Linked DNA regions of Oreochromis niloticus. The protein of the gene in region 1 interacts with the protein of each later gene in a pairwise test. Links are inferred from orthologs where the notes say so. Each region holds a gene or a part of one and is shown on either strand. Other genes may lie near its edges. The genes, in order: gcc1 and znf276.

Evidence for each region.
Region 2: the proteins of gcc1 (region 1) and znf276 interact in binary tests that used the Homo sapiens proteins (3 or more experiments, as listed by UniProt). The two-hybrid records come from large-scale screens. The link is inferred for Oreochromis niloticus from reciprocal best matches to the Homo sapiens genes GCC1 and ZNF276.

What each region holds. Positions count from the first base shown.
Region 1 is NC_031981.2:23,182,991-23,193,547, forward strand, and holds gcc1 (GRIP and coiled-coil domain-containing protein 1), read right to left. Parts: upstream 5,036-10,557; 5' UTR 4,805-5,035; intron 4,676-4,804; 5' UTR 4,590-4,675; coding exon 4,224-4,589; intron 4,098-4,223; coding exon 3,444-4,097; intron 3,298-3,443; coding exon 2,038-3,297; 3' UTR 1,777-2,037; downstream 1-1,776. Other genes in the region: protein DENND6B, read left to right, coding at 1-32, 106-180, 711-842; ADP-ribosylation factor 4, read left to right, coding at 5,886-5,952, 6,477-6,557, 7,254-7,363, 8,236-8,307, 8,399-8,524, 9,199-9,285. UniProt on the Homo sapiens protein: Probably involved in maintaining Golgi structure.
Region 2 is NC_031972.2:5,276,885-5,287,212, forward strand, and holds the start of znf276 (zinc finger protein 276), read right to left. Parts: upstream 4,542-10,328; 5' UTR 4,399-4,541; intron 3,683-4,398; exon of another isoform or gene 3,578-3,682; intron 2,442-3,577; 5' UTR 2,398-2,441; coding exon 2,145-2,397; intron 1,874-2,144; coding exon 1,558-1,873; intron 1,462-1,557; coding exon 1,415-1,461; intron 1,331-1,414; coding exon 908-1,330; intron 1-907. UniProt on the Homo sapiens protein: May be involved in transcriptional regulation.

The DNA.
Region 1 (10,557 bases):
AGAGTCTCCACCTGGAGGTCATCTGCGATGCGGTAAATTATCTGAGCGAAATTGCTGGACCATCAGCCAGCTGTGCAGCCCCTAATCCAGGTGTGTCCTCTGCAGGACCTGCTGGGATGGACCAAAGACAAGTCTGAGGTGGAGATTGTGGATCTGATTCTGAAGCTCAGAGAGAAGCTGGTGAGTTCCAACAGGAAGTTTGTTAGCGAGGAAAAAAGTTTCAGGTAAAAGGGTGTTACAGGTAAAAAGCTTAGGATAAAAATTCATTTGAAGAAGTAAAACTTACAACTGCAGGTGAAAAAGATTTTAGTTACCTGAGAGTTAAATCAAAAGTGAGATAGTTTGATAGTTTGAAGCTGGACATGACAATGCGTTCACTGACCATGGACGCTGAGGCGTTCACTAACGCTGGGACGTCTGCCTGTAATAAAAGTTCATGTTTGGGGTAAAATCCATCATATTTGTGATGGAGATGATGCTGTCCTGGGCTGCAGAGGAGATTGGGGAAAAATATTTTCTGGTTTCTTGTTTTAAAGATTAGAGATGAAACTTTGTTGTGAAAATGAAGCTATGATAATAATTCAGGATCATAATCCGGGTTTAATCCAAAGTGAGGTGGTGTTCTGCAACTAGGATCGTTTGCTTCTTCTTTGTTGGTTTCATGTCAAAAGTCTAGTTTTTGAGGACAGGAAGTGTGTGTGGCTTTTCAGATTAAAGCTCGGCGTCAGCAGCTGCAGCTCAGAGACGGTGTGATGGACAAACTCGACTCTTTCATCACCTCCATCATCAGCTCGCTGCCTGCTGACCTGCAGAGTGTGCTTGGCACAGGCGCGTCACCATGACGACAGCTAACCCCAACATCCAGGACTCACGCTTGTGTTCATCAGCATCTTCACACTCCGCAGAAAAACCAACATCGGCTCAAATCTTCAGTTTTTGGAATATTTAACTTTATTTAAACTTTATTACCTGTCCCCATCAAGCTGCTGCTCTGATGTTTTCCTTTCTCTGACGGTGGAATCAGGCTGTTTGCGTTTCACAGAAGTGGTATTTTTCTATCATCTCCACAAACTGAATGTAACACTAAGAATGAAGCTCCACTTTGTTTGTTTGTAAACCTTTATTTTGAAATTAAAGTCTGATCACTTCCTGTCCTTGTTTTATTCTAATCTCCTCGAGGATTCCGACTGAACGGAAAGGCTTTAAGTTCCTCTCATGTCATGGTGAAATGTAATTTCTTGTGGTCTGATGACGTCATCATAAACCTTTGCTCTTCATACTGCTGCTCTTTCATGCTTCAGACTTGCTTCAGTTTCAGACCTCGAGAAGGAAACCTCTGATTCTTTGTTTCTCTTTCCTTATTTATTTTATATAAAAATAATTAAGGCTCCACATCTGAACGTCTGAGTGAAGATCAGTGCAAACACATTTATGAACATTTCTGACTTTGTTCTGTGCACCTGAATGCAGCGTTTGCAGATGTGGACAGATGTTAGAGAAGCTCAGTGGTGAAGTATTTGATCAGTGTGACGTGTGTATGTCTGTCAGAACTGTGAAATAAAACAAAGCTTCAGGCTTCAAAAACACCTGGCTCACCTGTAATCTGACATGGGTGTCTTCACTGTTCCTCACAAAGCCAGCCAATCGGAGGCTAGTAAAAGCAGGAACTGCAGCTTTAGACAGGTGATCTCACCTGAAGAGGCTGGACCAGGCAAAGCAAATCGTATTTAGAGTTGTGTCATCATCAAGGCACTTCACTGACGCTCGGACACAGACTGAAGCAGGAAAAATATTTTAATCTGAATCAAAAATATACATCAGCTGATTGACCAGCGAAGGTCACATGTTAACGTGTTTGTAGTGTTTGAAGTCACATGACGCTCAGAGAGCAGCAAACCGTCAGAGAAACACCAGGAAGATGAAAAACACAGATGCCCTCAAGCGCAGCACGAAGCCACGCCTTCACTGGCTCAGATGCCCAGGTGTTCTTCCTGCACCTTCCTTCTTGCTGCAGAAGTGTTTTCTTCCTCAGGTACTCTACCTGCGTCCCATCCACCAGGTGCTGCCCTGCAGCCTCATGACATCATGCTTCTCCTGCGGGCTGAAGTGCAGGATGGTGAGAATGGCAGTGAGTGTCTGCTGGCGCCCGTTGGCGTCATGCAACGTCAGAAACCGGTACACAACATTCTTCAGGTACTCCATGTTGGCGCCCTCGCGGCTCTGGTCCCGGATCAGTTTTTCGAGGCGGTCACGCAGGGCTGCCACCTCCTCATCATGATGCTCTGCGTTTGCAATGAGTCGTTCCTGCAGCTGGCGCGTGTCCTCCTCCAGTCGGTTCTTCTGCCGCCGCAGCGCGCCCACCTCCACCTCCTTACGTGCGAGCTGCTCAGCGTACAGCAGCAGTGTTGACTCATTGGGTGTGGCCTGCCGCAGCGCCTGGCTGATCGCGTCGGTCTCTGTGTCGGGGCCATTCTCTTGAGGGTTGGTGGGTGTGTTGTCAACACGGTTGGACCAGCTGAGTGTGGCGGCAGCAGCCCGCAGCCTCTCCAGCTCGCGGTCCTTCTCATCCAGCAACGCCATGGTGCGCTCACGCTGCTTGTGAAGCTCTGCCTCCAGTCGCAACAGTTCGTCACGGTGGAGTGCCTCCAGACGCTCCGCCTCCTGCCGGTGTGCCTGCTGCAGCGACACTGCCTGCTGCTGGCGCTCATCAAGCTGCTGGCGGTGGTGGGCCTCGGCCTCGTCACTCTGCACACGCAGGTTTATGTACTTCTCACGCAGCTCGGCGAGCTGGTCGCGGACTTCCTCCAGTTCCCGCGCCTGGCAGCCATCTTTGGTGTTCTTGTTCTTCAGAACCACCTGCGCACGCACCTTGTAGCGCTCAAACTCATCCCTCAGCTGCCGCAGCTCCTGCTGATAAGCGAGGGCTGCCGCCGCCGCATCTGAACCCGGCTCCACCTCCAAGTCCTGGATGTTCTGGTCGGGGTTCCTCTGAGCCGCAAGGAGCAGCAGCTTCTTCACCTTCTGCAGCTTCTCCCGCAGCGCCCCCACGTCCAGTTGCTCATCTGGCCCGAGGTCAGAGGTCGCCCGGCTGGAGGCAGCGATGGCGAGTGTTTTGTTCTCCGTGTCGAGCTGCAGCACGCGATCACGGAGCCTCTGTGCTGCCTGCTGGTCACGCTGCCTTGCCTTCTCACACGAGCCCAGCAGCTCTGACAGCTCCGATACACGCTGCTCCAGGACCGCCACCCGGGCCTCAGCCAACTGAGCACGCTCATGAGCACGCTCTTCTGCATCGCAAACCTGCAACACGAACACAGAGATGACCTCACTTCCTGTTCTAGTTTACCTGGTCTGTTAGAGCTTCAGCTGTTTAATGTGGTTAAACCAGATTCCCTAGGACCTGTTTTATTGGGACTTTGTTTAGTGGGACCTGGTTCTGGGCTCACCTTGCGGGTCTCAAGCTGGACCTGCTCCTGGACCTGGTTCTTCAGCTTGTTCAATTCTTGCTGCAGCTCGTCCACTCTGGGGTCGGGTATTCGTTGCTCCTCCTCGGCGGCCTGCAGCCTCCGCCTCAGCTCGTCTCTCTCTTCCTTGACTTGGTTCAGGAGAGCCTCGGACTCCGCCCCCCGGTCCACGGCCTGTGAAGTCACAAGCAGGGCGGTGCTGGCATCCTGGAGGTGGAGCTCGGCGTCCTGGCGGAGGTCTCGCTCGGCCTGGAGGAGCCTCTGTAGCTCGCGGAGCTGCTGAGCGTGGTCCCCCTGCTCCTGCTCGCGCTCGTGCTGCTGCGTAATGATGCGAGCGCGACTTTCAGCGAGCTGCTGCTGCAGGTTGTGCAGTTCTGCCTCGTGCTGTGTTGTCATGGAGACCAGACGTTCCTGCAGCTCTTCAACTTCCTGTTTCAGCTGCCGCTTGTCTGCCTGGAAGCTCGCCTCCATTCGCGACTTCTCCTGCGTCACCGTGGCCAGCGAGCTTGTGAGCGTGCTCAGTTGGCTCTTCAACTGGGCGACTCTACGGTCTGCCTCCATGCCGGGAGGGGGCGTAGCCTGCTGCTGTTCTGTCCCCACGCTGCCACTCTCAGAGCTGCCATCGGGTTCAGATCCCTGCAGAACAAACATGGAGTCAGAGAATAAGACATGACATTATCAGAGCGTTATGGTGATGATGATGATGTCATCAAGTTCTGACTGTGTTCTGGTGATTTAAGTTCAGTTGTCAAAGTAACGTACCACCAGCCTTCCTCCCAGTTCTGCCTGGTCCTCCTCACTCTGGTCGCCTCTTGTAGTCTCGCTGGCCATGTCCAGAGACGCCGCCATATCCACGCTGTCCTCGCTGTGCAGCGAGCAGCCATCCTCGGTGAGCTCCGGTGTGGCGGTGGCCGAACCCTTCTGGGTCAGGTCCAGGTCCTGGGTCACGCTTAGGACCTTAAGGCTGGCCTCCAGCGCCTCTTTCTCCTTCAGGAGGCTCTTGTAGGCCCGGACCACATCCCTAAAGCGGGTCTGGTACTGGATCAGCTGCTTCTTCTGGGACTCCACCGTGTCCAGCAGCTCCTTCCTGCTCGGACCGCCACCAAAGCTCATCCCGAACTTCTCCATGACCTCGTCCAGGTCTGACCAGGTCTGTCCAGGTGAGCCTCTGATCACAGACACCAGAACATGAACAGAACCTTAGCATTGACTTCCTGTTAGAGGGGAAACAGAGAACAGCTGTTCAGATCACTCATCGATCAATTATCGATGGATGGTTTCTGTGAAGCTGAAACTTTGTGCTGGAACACAAAAGAAGAAGGAGGAGTAAAACAGTTTCTCACCTCTTTCTCTTTCTCAGTGTTTGTTTCTCCCTTTGACTGATTTTTCCGCCGCTTTGATCGTCTCTCCTCACACTGCGCCGACAAACCGGTTCGATGTGGATCACAAACTCGCAACCTGTCCGTCACAGGTGGTCAATAATCGACCCAATCGATGAGTGAAATCCGACTCAAAGCTTCATCTGTCAACAGGCGCCATGTTGGACCGAACCGGAAGTGACTGAGACGGAGGAGGCGGGAGTTTACTACTTTGTTCACGGACGTCAGGAAAATGCACAATAGGATGATTTTTTTTTTTTTTAGCTGATTTAAATTAAAAACTCACTGATTTAAATTAAATAAACAGCCAAACACAGCCAATAAAGCATATGTATATATATATATATATTATTATTAATATGTTTAACATTTCTGAAAGCAATACAGTATTTTGAATTGATTGTTTATTGGGAGAAAAACATTTTTTTCTTATTTTGTACAAATTTTAGAAATAAACTATTAGATTAAAAAATAATTTTATTAGAAATTAATTTTAACTTTGTTGGTTGATGATTGATTGAAAATATTTTCATGATTCCGTTCATTAAATTCTGTTCTTCCGTTCTTCAATAGAAAACGCTTTATTATTCTACACACATATATGTTTTTAGCACTGTCACAGAAGCAGTACGTGTGTATTTCACTTTGTTATGTTCTGTTGTATAATGACGTGAACATAGTGACATATATACATATAAATTAAACGTATTAATATAAATGGCTGTCCCGGAGCCGAGAGTGTTCCTCGCAGCCCATGAACTTCACTTCATGCGCAGAGCTCGAATGTACGGTGTTTGAGCGGACAGTGAACGCCGCGGTGTTTGCTATGCTGTTAATAAAGTTGTTGTTTTTTTTAAAGCGCAGCAGTGACGTCATTTGTTCCGCGTTGGCCTGGACGTGGCACCGAGAGGAGCTGCGCCCTCAGTTCGCTCTGCTCCGCTCCGCTCCGCTCCGCGCCTTCTCGGCTCCATTCCGCTGCTGCTCCCGGACCTCCGGCTCTACCCGCCGTCAGTGTGTGACCTGCCACCGCCTCCTCTCCGCAGCCATGGGCCTCACAATCTCGTCGCTGTTCTCCAGACTGTTCGGGAAGAAACAGATGAGGATCCTGATGGGTAAGCGGGGGCTAGGCTAACGAGCTAACGGGCTAACCGGCCGGGCTCCGGGGCGGCTGCAAGCGGCTCCGCGGGCTCACCAGCACCACACACCGTCTCATTTTACCAGGAACCCGCTCACCGAGTCCTGCGGACCGCGGGCCCGATCTTCCCGTGCAGGGAGAGGCAAAAGTCCGGCTCGGAGAAGCAAGAGGCTGTTAGCTCGGAGCTAACGGAAGGAAGCAGGCTGATAACAGTCCGTTAAACCGAGTTAAATTGGGGTCTAAACGGGGGTTAAACTGGGTTAAGATGTTTTAATCTGGGGTTAAACCTAAAACTGTACCGGTGTCATCTTATTAAGTCCATAAAAACCATTAAACCCGGTTTGATCTGAGCTTTAAACCAGCAGCTGGACTCTGATCTAGGTTTAAGTAATCTCAGATTAGTCTTTATTCACTGTATGAGGTTTAAGTAATCTCGGGTTAAACTTGAACCACTGTGAGACATTTAATTAATCTGGGATTAATCTTTGATGTGTGTTTCAGTCGGTTTGGACGCTGCTGGAAAAACTACGATCCTGTACAAACTGAAGCTCGGAGAGATCGTCACCACCATCCCCACCATCGGTACGTCATCAGGACTCAGGGACCAAATGAGGTCATGTGATCAATAATCAGCCGACTGTGTAGTCAGGTGGTTTGAACGTGGTATTGATCAGATCTGATCGGTTTGAGTGAGGATTCCCCAGGCGTGCTGGCACTTGCACTATTTTCTTTAAACTTCTCCTGCGTCTGCGTCTACAGGTCAAGTGACCTTTTAGAATAAGAGTCACCTGTTAGTTTGAATAAATAAGGTACCAAAACAAGAAACATAAATGATGAAAGTGCAGACACACACTTACAATGGTGAAAACAAACGTTTAAAGCAGGTAAATACAAGCTAAACTTATACACACCACCAGCGTTTACACAGCTATAGATATGGAACCATTAAAACTACAATCATGGAGAAATGAAACATCAACGTTTATAGTCAAGTCATCCTCAGTCTTATAGTTTCAGTTTACACAGGTGTCTCCTCTGTGCAGGTATTTCAGTGCTACTGCTTCACTCTAACTTTATATACTGTTACAGTCACTGTTGTACTGTGATATTTATTGTTGGTTCCCAGCGGGCTGATGGGATGTGTAGTTTCCTGTCAGTGATTCTGTTTCCTGTGACTTGGAATGTTTGAAGGTCATTAAAAGCTGTTTTTTTTTTTTTTTTTTAAATTTGACAAAGAGTCACCTGTTCACAACTCTGTGTGTGTGGTTGTGTGTTCAGGCTTTAACGTGGAGACAGTCGAGTACAAGAACATCTGCTTCACAGTTTGGGATGTTGGCGGTCAGGACAAGATCCGACCTCTGTGGAGACACTACTTCCAGAACACACAGGTACAGAAGCAGAACTCTCAGGTGCAGGCAGGTGTGGGACTTTTCTCTCTCTGAGGAACGAGATGTTCAGGTTGATCTGGTTCAGTTATGTTTACCTGGGCATTCATGAGAAGTTTTCTTCTGTGACCCCTCACTGATCTGATCTGTCCTGAGATATTCATCTATAGTAAAATCCTCATTTATATCCTCTATCTGATCATATCTTTATATCCATAAAGCTCTTCTTTAGCAATAAGTAACATAGAATAGAGTAGAATAGAATAGCATAATTTATCAGAACAGTTAGTGCATATTTGAATGAAGTTTCAGTGGATTTGCTGTCCATTGAAATAATTCTATATAAAACAATCTAAAAGTATAAAATACATAGAAGAATGTCAAACGTGTGTACAAATAGAAGTGACATTTATGTGTATATGCATGCTAGTAAAAGAAATGTTTTATTGAACAGTAATAAAGCAGCAAAACAACCCAGTGTACAACATCATCCTCATTCCAGATGTTCCGGCTTAAATATATAATCAGTAAAAAGTCTGGGAACTGCTTCAGAAACGTTTTGAAGCATAAATATTTTTTTTTAATCGAACTTTCAGTAAGAAAAGCAACTGAACTTAAATAAACAATTTCTTCAGTGCTGTGAGAACGTCAGGTTTGTGTTTCCACAGCTTTACAGAGGTGCTGCAGGAAAATCAACAAAGTCAAACATGAGTCCTAACACGGCTGCATTCCCCCTCAGAAACACCTGAGGAGCTTATTTTAGATCCCTGACTCTGCAGCACAACACACACAGCACAGACTTTCACTGTGGGCAGGATCCATTAATCACTGTATTGATGTATTAATTGTATCGATGACTGATGTATTGATCACAGGGTCTGATCTTCGTGGTGGACAGTAATGACAGGGAGCGAGTCGCCGAGTCGGCGGAGGAGCTCTCTAAGATGGTCGGTCCCTTTGATCACTTTACAGTTACGCATCATTAGACTCATGATCGTCATGGTAACCACTGACTGTATGTCACATGACTCTGTGCAGGTCCAGGAGGACGAGCTGAAGGACGCGGTACTTCTAGTGTTCGCCAACAAACAGGATCTCCCGAACGCCATGGGTGTCAGCGAGCTCACCGACAAGCTGGGTCTGCACAGCCTGCGCAGCAGAACCGTAAGGATCAATAACCCATCCGCACTGATCAGTACTACAGACTGAGTTCTGTTTCTCATGTTTCCCTCCATGGTTTATTGACTGATGATCTAAGTTCTCAGCTGTTTTTCTTGCTCAGTTCTGTAATTGTGAAATCAATAATCAGTCAATCAGTATACAAAACAGGAGACAGTGGGGTGACCTCAAATGAGCCCACAGCATTGGTCTGGGGGTGGAGCTCTGAGCACATCAGCCAACCCAATATCGCGACAAAGCTTCATGTTGAAGCTGCAGTAATCTGCACTACCAGCAGGAGGAAATGATATATTTAAAGCCAAGATGTGGGTAGTGAGCAAAATAATTCCATTAATCATCAGAATCGATTAAGTTGGGTGGCTGATATGGATGTACATGTAAAAGTGTTAATAATGTCTTTGTAATCGCGAGTATTTTCATGTTGGCTTGAAATAAAATATCTCCCTCTGCTGGTAATCTGTGATGTCAGTGCCAGTGGGTGGAACCCTTGGGTTTTAATTTTATAGTTGCATCCTAATTGGTTGTTAGAAAATCCACTCAGGGGTCTTGATGTCACTGTCCACAAACTTATGGAGCTAAATCTGTTTAGACAGTTAAACTCACTTGTGTGTGCTCCCTGTACCTGCCCACTCACCTGTGATGATCTGTGTGTGTTTCAGTGGCACGTGCAGGCCACCTGTGCGACGCAGGGCACAGGTCTGTACGAGGGACTGGACTGGCTGTCCAATGAGCTCTCGAAGCGTTAAACCACCTGACAGGAAGTAGAAAGCAGACTGATTTCAGCCGCTGATGTCACCGTGTACAGATGAGGAAGAGGAGGAGGAGGAGCGTGTCATCGCTCCATGTTTCTTTCTTTTTTTTCTCTTTTTTTTTTTTTTTTTTTTTTTTTAAATTATACCTGTGTGTCTGTAGGAGGAAGTGATGTCATGGACTCTGAGCTCACCTTCATTTCCCATCATCCTCTTCTTCTGTTTTTCAGGTGTTTGTTAGATCTTCTTTCTTTTAAGCCGCATGTTTTAACTCAGATTCATGTGACAGGAGGAGGGGCGGGGCTTACGGCAGGTGACGGTCACCTGGGCGTTGGGGGCGGGAATTATGGCAGGTGATGGTCACCTGGTCGTGCGAAGACTCATTCCATAGAGCCAAGTATGGCAGCCTCGTCATTCCTTATCAAAGTGAAGAAGAAACTGAGACCATGATGCAATAAAGGTTTTTTTTTTCTTCTCACCTGTGTGTTCTGCTTTCTGTTTGAGAAACTTTATTCAGCGTTAACTGTGCGATGAGATGTTTGCATAGGCCTGAAGATCTCCTGCTGACCTCTGACCCACCAATCAGATATTGGATTTAACTTTATGGGCTACTGGACAGATTTACTAAGTGGCGCAAATGATTTGGACTTTGCGTTTCCAGGATGTTCTGTTTATATTTATTTATCATTTAAATATGAAGATGCAGCCGCTTCACTTAAGTAAAAAAAAAAAAAAAATCAGCTGCGAGTGGAACGGCTCAAAGACCGAGAGGAGGGAGTGCCGCAGGCCTGCAAACCAAAATAATCCAGTGTGAGCTCTTGAGCATTAAGTGTGCTGCTAGAGACGTGAAGGAATCTGACCGTTCATGAAGGACGTTTGTCACAGCCTGTTGTCATTTATGTGACCGCCATAAAACAACAGAACACAGCAAAGTAAGCTAGGTGTTTTGTAGTCCATCGGACATCTGGCGTCACACCATTAACCTCCTAGGACCTGGCGTCCACATATGTGGACATCACATTTTGGGTTGTCTAGACCAAAATACTAAATTTTGCTCTACGAGGGCCTGATATCCACTTACGAGGACATTATACTCAGGGATGCACATAAGTGGTCCGCAGGTGCGCATTCGCTGTCAAAAGACGCACACCAGATAAGTTGCAACGCGCGTTTGTGTAAATATAAAAGGCACTGTTTTTGTCCTCTAGAGTGGGATTTTCGCGGCATATTCTGCACCACATCTCTGTGCGTTCATCATTTGTTTGAAGC
Region 2 (10,328 bases), on another chromosome or scaffold:
CCTGGTGCACTTAAACGTATAGTGAGGGTGCACTCGGAACGCCTGGCAGAGGCCCCGGTCTGCGAGATCTTCAACGCACACCTCTGGCAGAGCTTTAACAGCATTCCAAGGGAGACTGGGAACACTGAGTCCAAATGGACCAATGTCAGCACCTCCATTGCTGAAGCTGCTGCACTCAGCTGCGGCCGAAAGATGGTTGGTGCCTGTCATGGTGGTAACTTCCGAACCAAATGGTGGACACCAGAGGTGAAGGGAGCCACCAGGCTGAAGAAGGAGACACCTATCTCCGGGGGCGAGGTGCTGAGGGAGTTACAAAACTCCTGACCGGGCTGGTGGTTCCCAGTTTTAAGAAGGGGGACGGGAGGTTGTATTCCAACTATAGGGGGGATCCCACTCCTCAGCCTTATGGTGAAGAGAGAGCTGAGTGTAAAAGTGAAGCTCTCAATTTACCGGTCGATCTGCATCCCACCCTCACCTATGGTCACGAGCTGTGGGTAGTGACCGAAAGAATGAGATCACGGATACAAGCAGCAGAAATGAGCTTTCTCTGAAGGGTGGTTGGCCTCTCCCTTAGAGATAGGGTGAGAAGTTCAGCCATCCGGGAGGTGCTCAGAGGAAAGCTGCTGCTCCTCCACATCGAAAGGAGCCAGTTGAGGTGGTTTGGGCATCGAATAAGGATGCCTCCTGGGCGAGTGTGTTCCTGGCATGTAGTCTCCTGTAGTGTGACTGCAGCAGGTGGCTGCCTGTCACTGAGCACAGTGATTTTCTGATTGTTGGGGTTTATCTCTGATCTTGTGCGAGTCTTTTATTGTACAACATAAAACATCTTGAAACAACTGAAGCTGTATAAGAGGGCTGATACACCCGTAGTCTCTGTGTCAGTCTGAACAACTGTAAGCATTCCCACCTTCGTTGTCGCCTGTCCAGTCATCAGGCGCTGAGCTCTGCGTCTGAGCCGTTGCTGCAGGTGGACTGCGCTGAACCACAGTACTAGTACTTCTCGATGAGGTTATTCCGTTCCCGCCGGATTGCTCCTCTTCATCTTCCTCGCCGTCTTGCTCTTGTTCCTCCTCCTCTGACATCACTCCATCACCCCTCCCACTCCCTAATGCTCTATTGCTCGAGCACTGGTTGGAGGTGGTGCTGCGCTGAGTGTCCATAATGTATCTGTGACCATCGACGCAGCCCCAAACAGCCTTTACGGAGCCCAGACACTGGCCCTCCAGCACCTCCTTCAGGTCGGGGCAGGAGCGGCAGGCCTCTCCGTGGTGATGAGCCCAGGACACCAGACTGTGGAGGCACTTTGTGTCTGAGGTAAAGGATGAAGGAGCTGAAGAAAATAGAAGAGCCTGTCAGAACAGTTCAACTTATGTAACTTCAGCAAGATGGAGTGAGGAAGTAATGTTTTACTTACTTGATGAGCAATGGTTTACAGAGGACTCTGGACCCTTTGCATTCTTCCTGAAACAAACACAAACACTTCCACATGTTTTTCTGCAGTAAAAACAATTTATAGTCACCCTCAGGTAGACATATTTGTTTTCTTTATTGACTCACTGATTTTTCAGGTTCTCCTTCCCCACAGGGGGGAGGTTGACTCTCTGCAGAAACCGGATCAGGATGCTTTGGCACTTGTAAAACTTTGCATGGCATTTCTTGCAAATAAATTCCGAAAGCCGAGGGTCACGGTCCACCTGGACCCCGACCAGCCTTTGGAAGTCTGTGTGGAACAAAAGGGGTGACTGGGCCACGGCGTCTGACTCCTCGTCTACGATACTGAGGGAATCCCGAGGCCATTTGTTGAAGGCGTGCCGCAAGCTGCGCGGGGAAAACTTCCCGTGACAAAGCCGGCAGACAGCAGCAGAGAGTCTACCTGTGGGGGCATCATAACTTGATTTCATCTTACAGCGCTCCCATAACACAATTTACTATTGTCCACATTAACAGAGAAATATACCATATACTTGATTTTCCTTGGTTTGTGCCAAACACACAGTATCTACTGATTAAAGGCCCGTAACATTGTTTTTTCTGCACTGGCTTTGCAAAGTTAAGTAGTTTGAGAATCACATGACAAATATCCAACAATAACTTACACTAACATCAACTTCCTGTGTTTAAAACGGGCGTAGTGAGCCACTAACCTGAAGATCTGGACTTAGTCTCTGGATGTTTCTGGGTGTCTTCAGCTGTCATCACATTGAAGTCTGCGTCGGCGTTTTTTTCTGTTGCGCTGTCATTCAGGTAGAAACTGTCTGTGGTTACAGCGGCAGTCTTCCGAGGTCGCCCTTTGTTTCCAGGTGACCTCTTCTCACGGGTGACATCCACTGGCATTGGCGTCCTGCTGAGCTTTTGCGGAGTCTCAGAAGACCTCGTATGTCTGCTTTTCTTCTTCATCGTTTATTGTTATTTTTGTCAGCAGCTGATCTCGTGAAGGCTGCCTGTGTCAGTGTAATAAACAACAAAATATTTAGCATTTCTGAGTTTTTGTTCCATCTAAAGACAACGACAGACACATACCAGGGTTTTTTTGTGCTCACCAAAGAGGTTTTGGCTTTCTACAAAACGCAAAATCACCAGGATTGTGATAGAAATATATTACCCATTTCCTATTTTTAATGAGATTTTATTTACTAAAGCTTAAATAATATTTTGTTTATGGCCAACAACAGGAAAATTCGTATGCTTCTGTGAAGTAAGGTACCACAGACTATTTACTTTAACTACAAATAGATCAGTCCTGCTTATTATGTTGCTCCAAAGTTTCATTTAGAACCAGAACCAGTTGTAAAATGTAAAAACTTATGAAATTACTGTCATCATTTAAACAAGCTGGCAGGAAGCGTGGATCAACGTGTACATACACTCACCAAGCACTTTATTATTATTATTATTATTATTATTGAGTACAACATGTTAGTAGTAAGTTGGACCTCTTTGTCCTTCAGAGTTGCCTTAATTCTTCTTGCTTTAGATTCAACAAGGTGCTGGAAACTTTACTCAGAGATTTTGGTTCATACTGACATGAAACCATCACACAGTTGCTGCAGACTGTTGGCTACATACCCATCATGTGAATCTACCACACACATCCCAAAAGTACTCTGTGACTGTGGATGTAATTTCAGTCCAGTTCAAGAAACTAGTTTGAGATCATTTGAGCTTTGTGACATGGTGCATTATCCCATTGAAAGTAGGCATCAGAAGATGCATACGCTGTGGTCATAAAGAAATGGACATGGTCAGCAGAAATACTCAGGTAGGCTGTGGTATTTCAGTGATATTCAGCTGCTATTAAGGGGCACAAAGTGTGCCAAGAAAATACTCCTACACCTTTACACCATCACCAGCAGCCTGAACTTTTGATACAAAGTAGGACAGAGCCATGATTTTGATGTTTTTTATGTCAAATTCAGACCAGGAAATGTTTTTTCACTCCTCTATTGTCCAGTTCTAGTGAGCCTGTGCAAATTGTAGCCTCATTTTCCTGTTCTTTGCTGACAGGAGTGACAATCAGTGCAGTCTTCTGCTGCTATAGCCCATCTGCTTCAACTTTCAGAGATGCTTTTCTGCATACCTTGGCTATACCGAGTGGGTGTTTGAGTTGTCACTGTCGTCCTATCAGCCTGAAGCACTCTGGCCACTCTCTTCTGACATCTGACATCAATAAGGTGTTTTCACCTGGAGAACTGCTGTTCACTTAATATTTTCACTTTTTTGAACCATTCTCTGTAAACGTTAGCAATGGTTCTGTGGAAAAATCCATCAGTTTCTGAAATACTCAGACCAGCCGATCTGCCGCCAACAGCCATGCCACTGATGCTCAGTTTGAACTTCTGCGTTAGCAGGTCCTCATGCCTACATGCCTAAATGTACTATGTTGCTGCCACGTGATTGGCTGATTAGATATCTGTCAACGACCAGCTATACCTAATGAAGTGGTCGGTGAGTCCATGGGGCAGAACGAGGTTTTTCTCCTTCTTAACAAAACAGCTGTATAATAAATACAATTTTTTAACCTCATTTAATATTATCTGAAACCTTCGTTGTACTTTAAAGAAAATAATCAGTCCATTTGTAAATCTTCTGAGATACATTTAATAGTTTTTTCTCAGAAATCTTTAACATTGATGACACAGGAACTCCATCCATGGATAAAGTTAACAGGATACTAATGCCAATCAAGCCGCAGCACCTTTGATTTAAGCCTCCGATAAAACAAAAACCCTGACAACGGTCCCGGATATTGTTTTTACACTTCAGCATGATTTTGTTTACAGATTAATTCAACTAGCGTTAGCTGGTTAGCATGAGTGAGCCTGCTACATTTGTTAGCTGACGTGTTAAAACACAACACACGTGACGTCATAATTACAGCACTCGTCATGGAGGGCCTACCGTGACTGTGCACAGATCCTAGCACTTGGAAAACATGCTGTTCTTAACGTACAAAGAGGTTTTCATTAGCCTGGAAAACAAACTGTGTGCTTTGTAGCTGCTCCCAGATGTAAACATTAGAACCCGGAAGCGCTACCGGAACAAAACACAGAGGGGTGATACCCAAGAGCGCCACCTGCCGTCCACAGAGAAGAGTCCGGAGAGTCCGAAGAGTAAAAGTATTGGGGTAAAATATAATTAATAAAATTCATGAAATAGTGACTTTTTAAAAATACTTTTATTTGCTCAGGCTTTCTTTAAAAATGAGAATGTGATAATAAAATAATAATAATAATAATAATAATAACAATAATAATATCCACTCATAAGCCATTATTTTGTGCCACTATTCTCAAATCAGGTTGCAGGAAGACGAAGCAAAGAAGCCCAGACCTGTCCCTCAAGGCGATCTTTAGCCTTCAAACTCAGGTCTTCTACCAAACACCTGGGACCTTAAGGGTCCTGTGCAGTATCTTTGCTGTTCCTAGGACTAGGCCAGGGGTCGGCAACCCGCGGCTCCGGAGCCGCATGCGGCTCTTTAGTCCTTATACTGCGGTTCCGCGTGGTTTGGGCAAATAAATTAGAAGTATTTAGCTGAAGTGTATTTTATTTATGTTAGTTCTTTTTAACTCGTAGTTCTAAATTGGAAGATTATTGTGATATTGAAATATAAAAATAAAATTATATTCTATTGTTTTTTCATCGCTCAAAATAAGAGTCACACTCGCGGAAGCCTCCACTGTGGAGGAATTTTGGCCGACTCCTCTTTGCATAATTATTTTTAATGGGGGGGGGGGGGTTCAAGCATGAACACCACTCACTTCCTGTTTAAGGTCTCTCTAAGTAAGACGATGACATCAAAAAAATGTGAAATAGAGTGGTCTTCATCCTGAAATATACACTGTCTTTATATAATAAAGACAGTGTCGGGGCCCAACAGGACGGCAGTGACTCTGTGATAGACATTAACTCAGCTTTAGAGCTGGCAATGCCCAGGCCGTCTGCAATCACATATTTTAAAATGGCAAGAAGGTCTCATCCTGATAGTCTATTTTATATAATTGTGTTATTTCCAGAGGTGGGAATTAACAAAACACAAATACTTTGTACTTAAGTACAATTTTCAGATATCGGTTCTTTACTTGAGTAGTTTTTTTCTGACTACTTTTTACTTTTACTCCCTGCATTTTTAAACAAATATCTGTACTTTCTACTGCTTACATTTTCAAAACAGGCACGTTACGTTTGATTTAACGCATTTGGGGGGAGATATTATTTCTTCACTGTTAGCCTCCAAACTTTAAACCGATTTGACCCTGAACAGAAACACATAAAAGGTGGTCCTGTTCATTTATTAATCACCAGAGGATGTGGCATAAAAAGAGTTGACGTGTGTACCAAACTCAGGGGTTAAAAGTGGGAAGGCGTTTTTTGTTGTTGTTGTTGTTGTTTTTTGCCACAACACCTACTCCTACTGAAAAGGAGTGAGTAAAAATAAAGAGAGTGACGTTTTTTAAGTGACAGGTCATTTCAAATGAACGTTTCTGTCAGCGTCAGCAAACACACAAACTGGTTGTGTGCAGTTTGTCTCACAGTGTGTGGCTAGCTAAAGGTCCAGCTGCTGTATTTCACAGAGAGAGAAAAAAGAGCTAAAGTCACTCAGAGATGGAGAAAGATAAGAAAAATAGGACGGGAGAGAAAGAAGAGAGCTTAGATTTAAAGGTAAGGACTGCTCAGTGGGGTCTGACAAACTGGTAATTTAAAGTCCTTATGTTTTTAAATCAGATATTGGCTCTGTAGGCAACAGAAAATAAAGATTTGTTTATTTATTTTTTTAATTTTCCTTCTTTTCCTTCTGACTTAAGCTGAGTATAAGTAGAATTAAAAATAGCTTAAAGTTTGTATTCCCATCTACTGATATTATTTTATCATTATATTAATATAGCACAAAGTTCAGTTCAATCCTCCAAAGAGCAACTTTTTACTTTCTTACTTATGGTACATTTCAGAGCCTGTACTTTTTTGCTTTTACTTGAGTAAAGAAGTTGAATCAGTACTTCAACTTTTACTGAAGCATTTTTAACAGCAGCATTTGTACTTCTACTTAAGTACAGAATGTCTGCACTTTTGCCAACTCTGGTTATTTCTCGTCATTGGCTCACTGTTAAATCCAGAATCAAATTTAAAGTCTTTCTCACATATAAGCTTGAATTATCAGCTCATCTTATCTCACAGACCTCAGAGGACCTTATCACTCCAGCAGAACACTTTTGGTCTCAGACTGCGGGGTTAGTTGTGGTCCCGTGGGTTTTTAACACTTTTAGCTTTTTCTTCAGCTTTCAGCCCCCCTCTTCTGTGGAAGCAGCTCCCAATTTGGATTCAGGAGACAGACACTACCTCTACTTTTAAGATTAAGCTTAAAAGTTTCCTTTTTGCCAAAACATATAGTTAGGGCTGGATCAGGTGACCCTGAATCCTTCCTTAGTTGTGCTGCAATAGGTGTAGGCTGCTGGGGGATTCCCATGATGCACTGAGTGTTTATACACCACTCTGCATTTAATTATTTGTTAATACTTATCTATGACTTTCTCTTTTCAAATTATATTCTCAAAACCTCTGACTCATCAGACAAAACCTCATGATTGCATCGGAACAGTTTTATCAGCAATAAAAACCACACAGTGTCTTCAGCTCACATACACAACCAGTCAAGATAATAACTCTGCTGAGCATCCGTTTCACACCGCAGCAAGTGATGTAGCAAAACACGAGTATAGTGTAAAGATTCAAGATTATGGTAGCATTATACTTCCCTCATTTACAGGTGATACGTGCTGTATAAAGCTCCAGACTTAAACATTCTCTCATCCTCCTTGGTTTTGAGACGCATAAGTCAAGGAAACGTTATAGTAAACGATGAATTACGTAGATTACTTTTATAAGTAAAATTAATATCTTCTGCTTTCTTTCATTTGGGTTGCTGCATATGCAAAAACAGTTTTATCACAGAGAATCAAATTTCATCATATTTATTAGAAGTGATTTATTGTGGTAGAGCTCACTCCTCCTCATCTTCCTCCTCTCTGATTGTTTCCTCCCATTCTTGGTATCAAACCTTCAGCTCACTGGAACTCACCGGTCGCTTTATTAGCAATCAGTGTGAAAAAGTTTGAGTTGTCACGTTCACGAAATGACAACAGAGCTGTAGTCGTGTTGTGTTTCCTGTTGTTACCATTGAGTGAGAATTTGTTTAGAGCTTTTTGAAAAGAATTTAAATAAGATGTAAAAATTGGGTCTAACTAGAAGACAACAATTTAAGGTTTTGCCAAAAGAGCGATTGATTCCGGGAATTAGTTTCACACACACACACACACACACACACACACACACACACACAAAAACCCCGCTGAACACACAGGATGAGAAAACATGTGAAGCTGCCCTCTTTCATAAGCAAACTGTAGTATGAGACATAGACCTTGTGTATATGTAAATATATCTCTGAAGGTCCTCTGTTGCCACCGCAGTCTAGAATCTTTAGTGTATATTGATGTTTCTATACATTCCTTTCTGATTTTCCAGCACATTTTTGGAGATGACGACACGGCACGTGAAGCTGGAAAGGCTTGAGTTACGTGTCCCGACTCTGATTTTTTAACCAATGCTGAGCTCTGGTATTATCCTGATGCTTTATGAGTGCAATCTGATAACATGCGGTTCTGAGCACTGATAAAATTGTTTTGATGTGATTGTGCGGTGTAGCCATGAGACTCAGAGGTGAATGTAGTTTGTGTTCAAAGTGTAGAAGAATTAATATTTAGTTGAAGTTTTGCCTTGTTTAGTTGCTTGGTTGCTAACTGGCCATCTTATTTGGTCACATTATAAGAAGTGGGTAGCTTTTGAGAAAATAAATAGGCCTTAGCAAGTGTGAAAAACTGTAATAGACTTGAGGAAATAAGAATGAAGTCACCTAAAAGTGATCTTGTACCTCACTGAAATACAATGGGTGTTTTTGGGGGTTTTTTTTAACATAGAATATGTTTTTTCATATGTTTTTATCTTTTTACATGTGTTTAGATTGCATAATGTGTTAGGCTGTTTTGCACCAGGCACACACACACACACACACACACACACACACACACACACACACACACACACACACACACACACACACACACACACAAATAAAACTAAATAAAAAACTAAATCAAGGTGACAGAATGATCATGAAGAAAGGGTTGCAGATGCATGCACGGAAGTGATTTAAATAGGTTTCTCCTTTACACCACTGAACACAGATAAGATCTTGTGTACACGAAGCTACTTCCATTACTTCACTTCACCACACACACATTTTCATTAAAATGGGGGAATGACTCATGTCAAACATGTTTTTGTGGTTTTGTTTGTGCATTTATAATGCAATAGTCATTATACAGTCTAAAGCACCTCTTTATCTTATCTTTATCTTTGAAGACAGGCTTTTACAGTAATATAAAGAATAAACAACACATACAGTCAAAACTATTCCTTTAGCGAACAGTCAAACTGACTAGAATGTGAATTATCCAAAAGTGAGGAACACTACTGAAGACTACACATGAGGCTGAAATGAAATGAAAATATTCAGTTGTGGAAATCAGCAAAAATGTATGACAGACTATGTACAGATCTATAAACAGTGTAAAATGTATGTAAACAGATATACATATGCTTTTTTGTGAGTTGTTGCGTTCCTACAGACACATACATATACTGATACTGATAAGCACTCACTGACGCATCACCCTCCCTACCAAACGCCACCTCCAACGCTTACCTCCCCTCTGATGTGGACATCGGGTCAGTTGGAGGCGCAGTCGAAGATTGCAGTGGTCCCAGATCAGATGTACACACTGGAACACTTTCCCATGTTGCTTGTCTGTGTTTATTGTGTTATGGTGTGTTGATATCTGTGCATTCCTGTATTATCCTTTTGTGTTACATATTTCGATGTTTTTTTCCTCGCTACCTGGCCTGACCTGTCTCCCCAATGTGATGTTTGTATTGTATGTGCGGTCGGCAAGGTCTGTCATCTCGGTTGTGGGCAAAAGACTTGCAACTGACAAATAAAGGCTATCTCATCTCATCATCTATAGGCTGAGTCTATAGGAACCCAGTCCCATGACTGCTGTGTCATCTGCAAACTTGATGATGGAGTTTTTCACGTGGACAGTGTCGTGGTTGAAGAGAGCATGCAGGAGAGGGAGCAGCACACATCCATGGGGAATGCCAAGGTTCAGGGTGACAGTGTGTGTTTTGCAAACCTGACATGCCCCCTGCATTTCATGTGGACTAGAGTCATCCTTTCACTACCACCAAAGTGAGTGAAACTGGCCTGTGGTAATTTAGACTACTCACATGTTTCTGCTCAGATATGAGCTCAGTTGTTTTGGCTTTGAGGCAGGTGGGGATGATCGCTTCGGTCAGGCTGAGGTTGAAGATTTCCCTGAATACCTCAGCTAGCTGGTCTGCACATGCCTCAAGTATGTCAGGCCCTGATGCTTTCCGGGTTCTGACTCCACGCAGTGCACTCCTCACCTTCTTTCTGTTCGGTCTCAGCTCCAGGTGATCCAGCTCCAATCGAGCCGTGTGTCTAGTGCCAGTGTTAAAATGAGCAAAGAACATGGTTAAGGTCCTCGACCTGCTAGGGAGTGTAATTTGGTGTTGCAGTGTTGCATTATTTTTATCTGTATGAACATCCAAGTATCTGCTTCCCCAAATCATCACTAACACATGGTCACACTGGTCAGAAACGCATACACGAGTAGCTCACTGTAGCAGCGTTCCTGTTGTTTCTTCCTCTTACAAGAAGGGTTATGTCTCTTGGCTTGATGCCCTTCTACAGC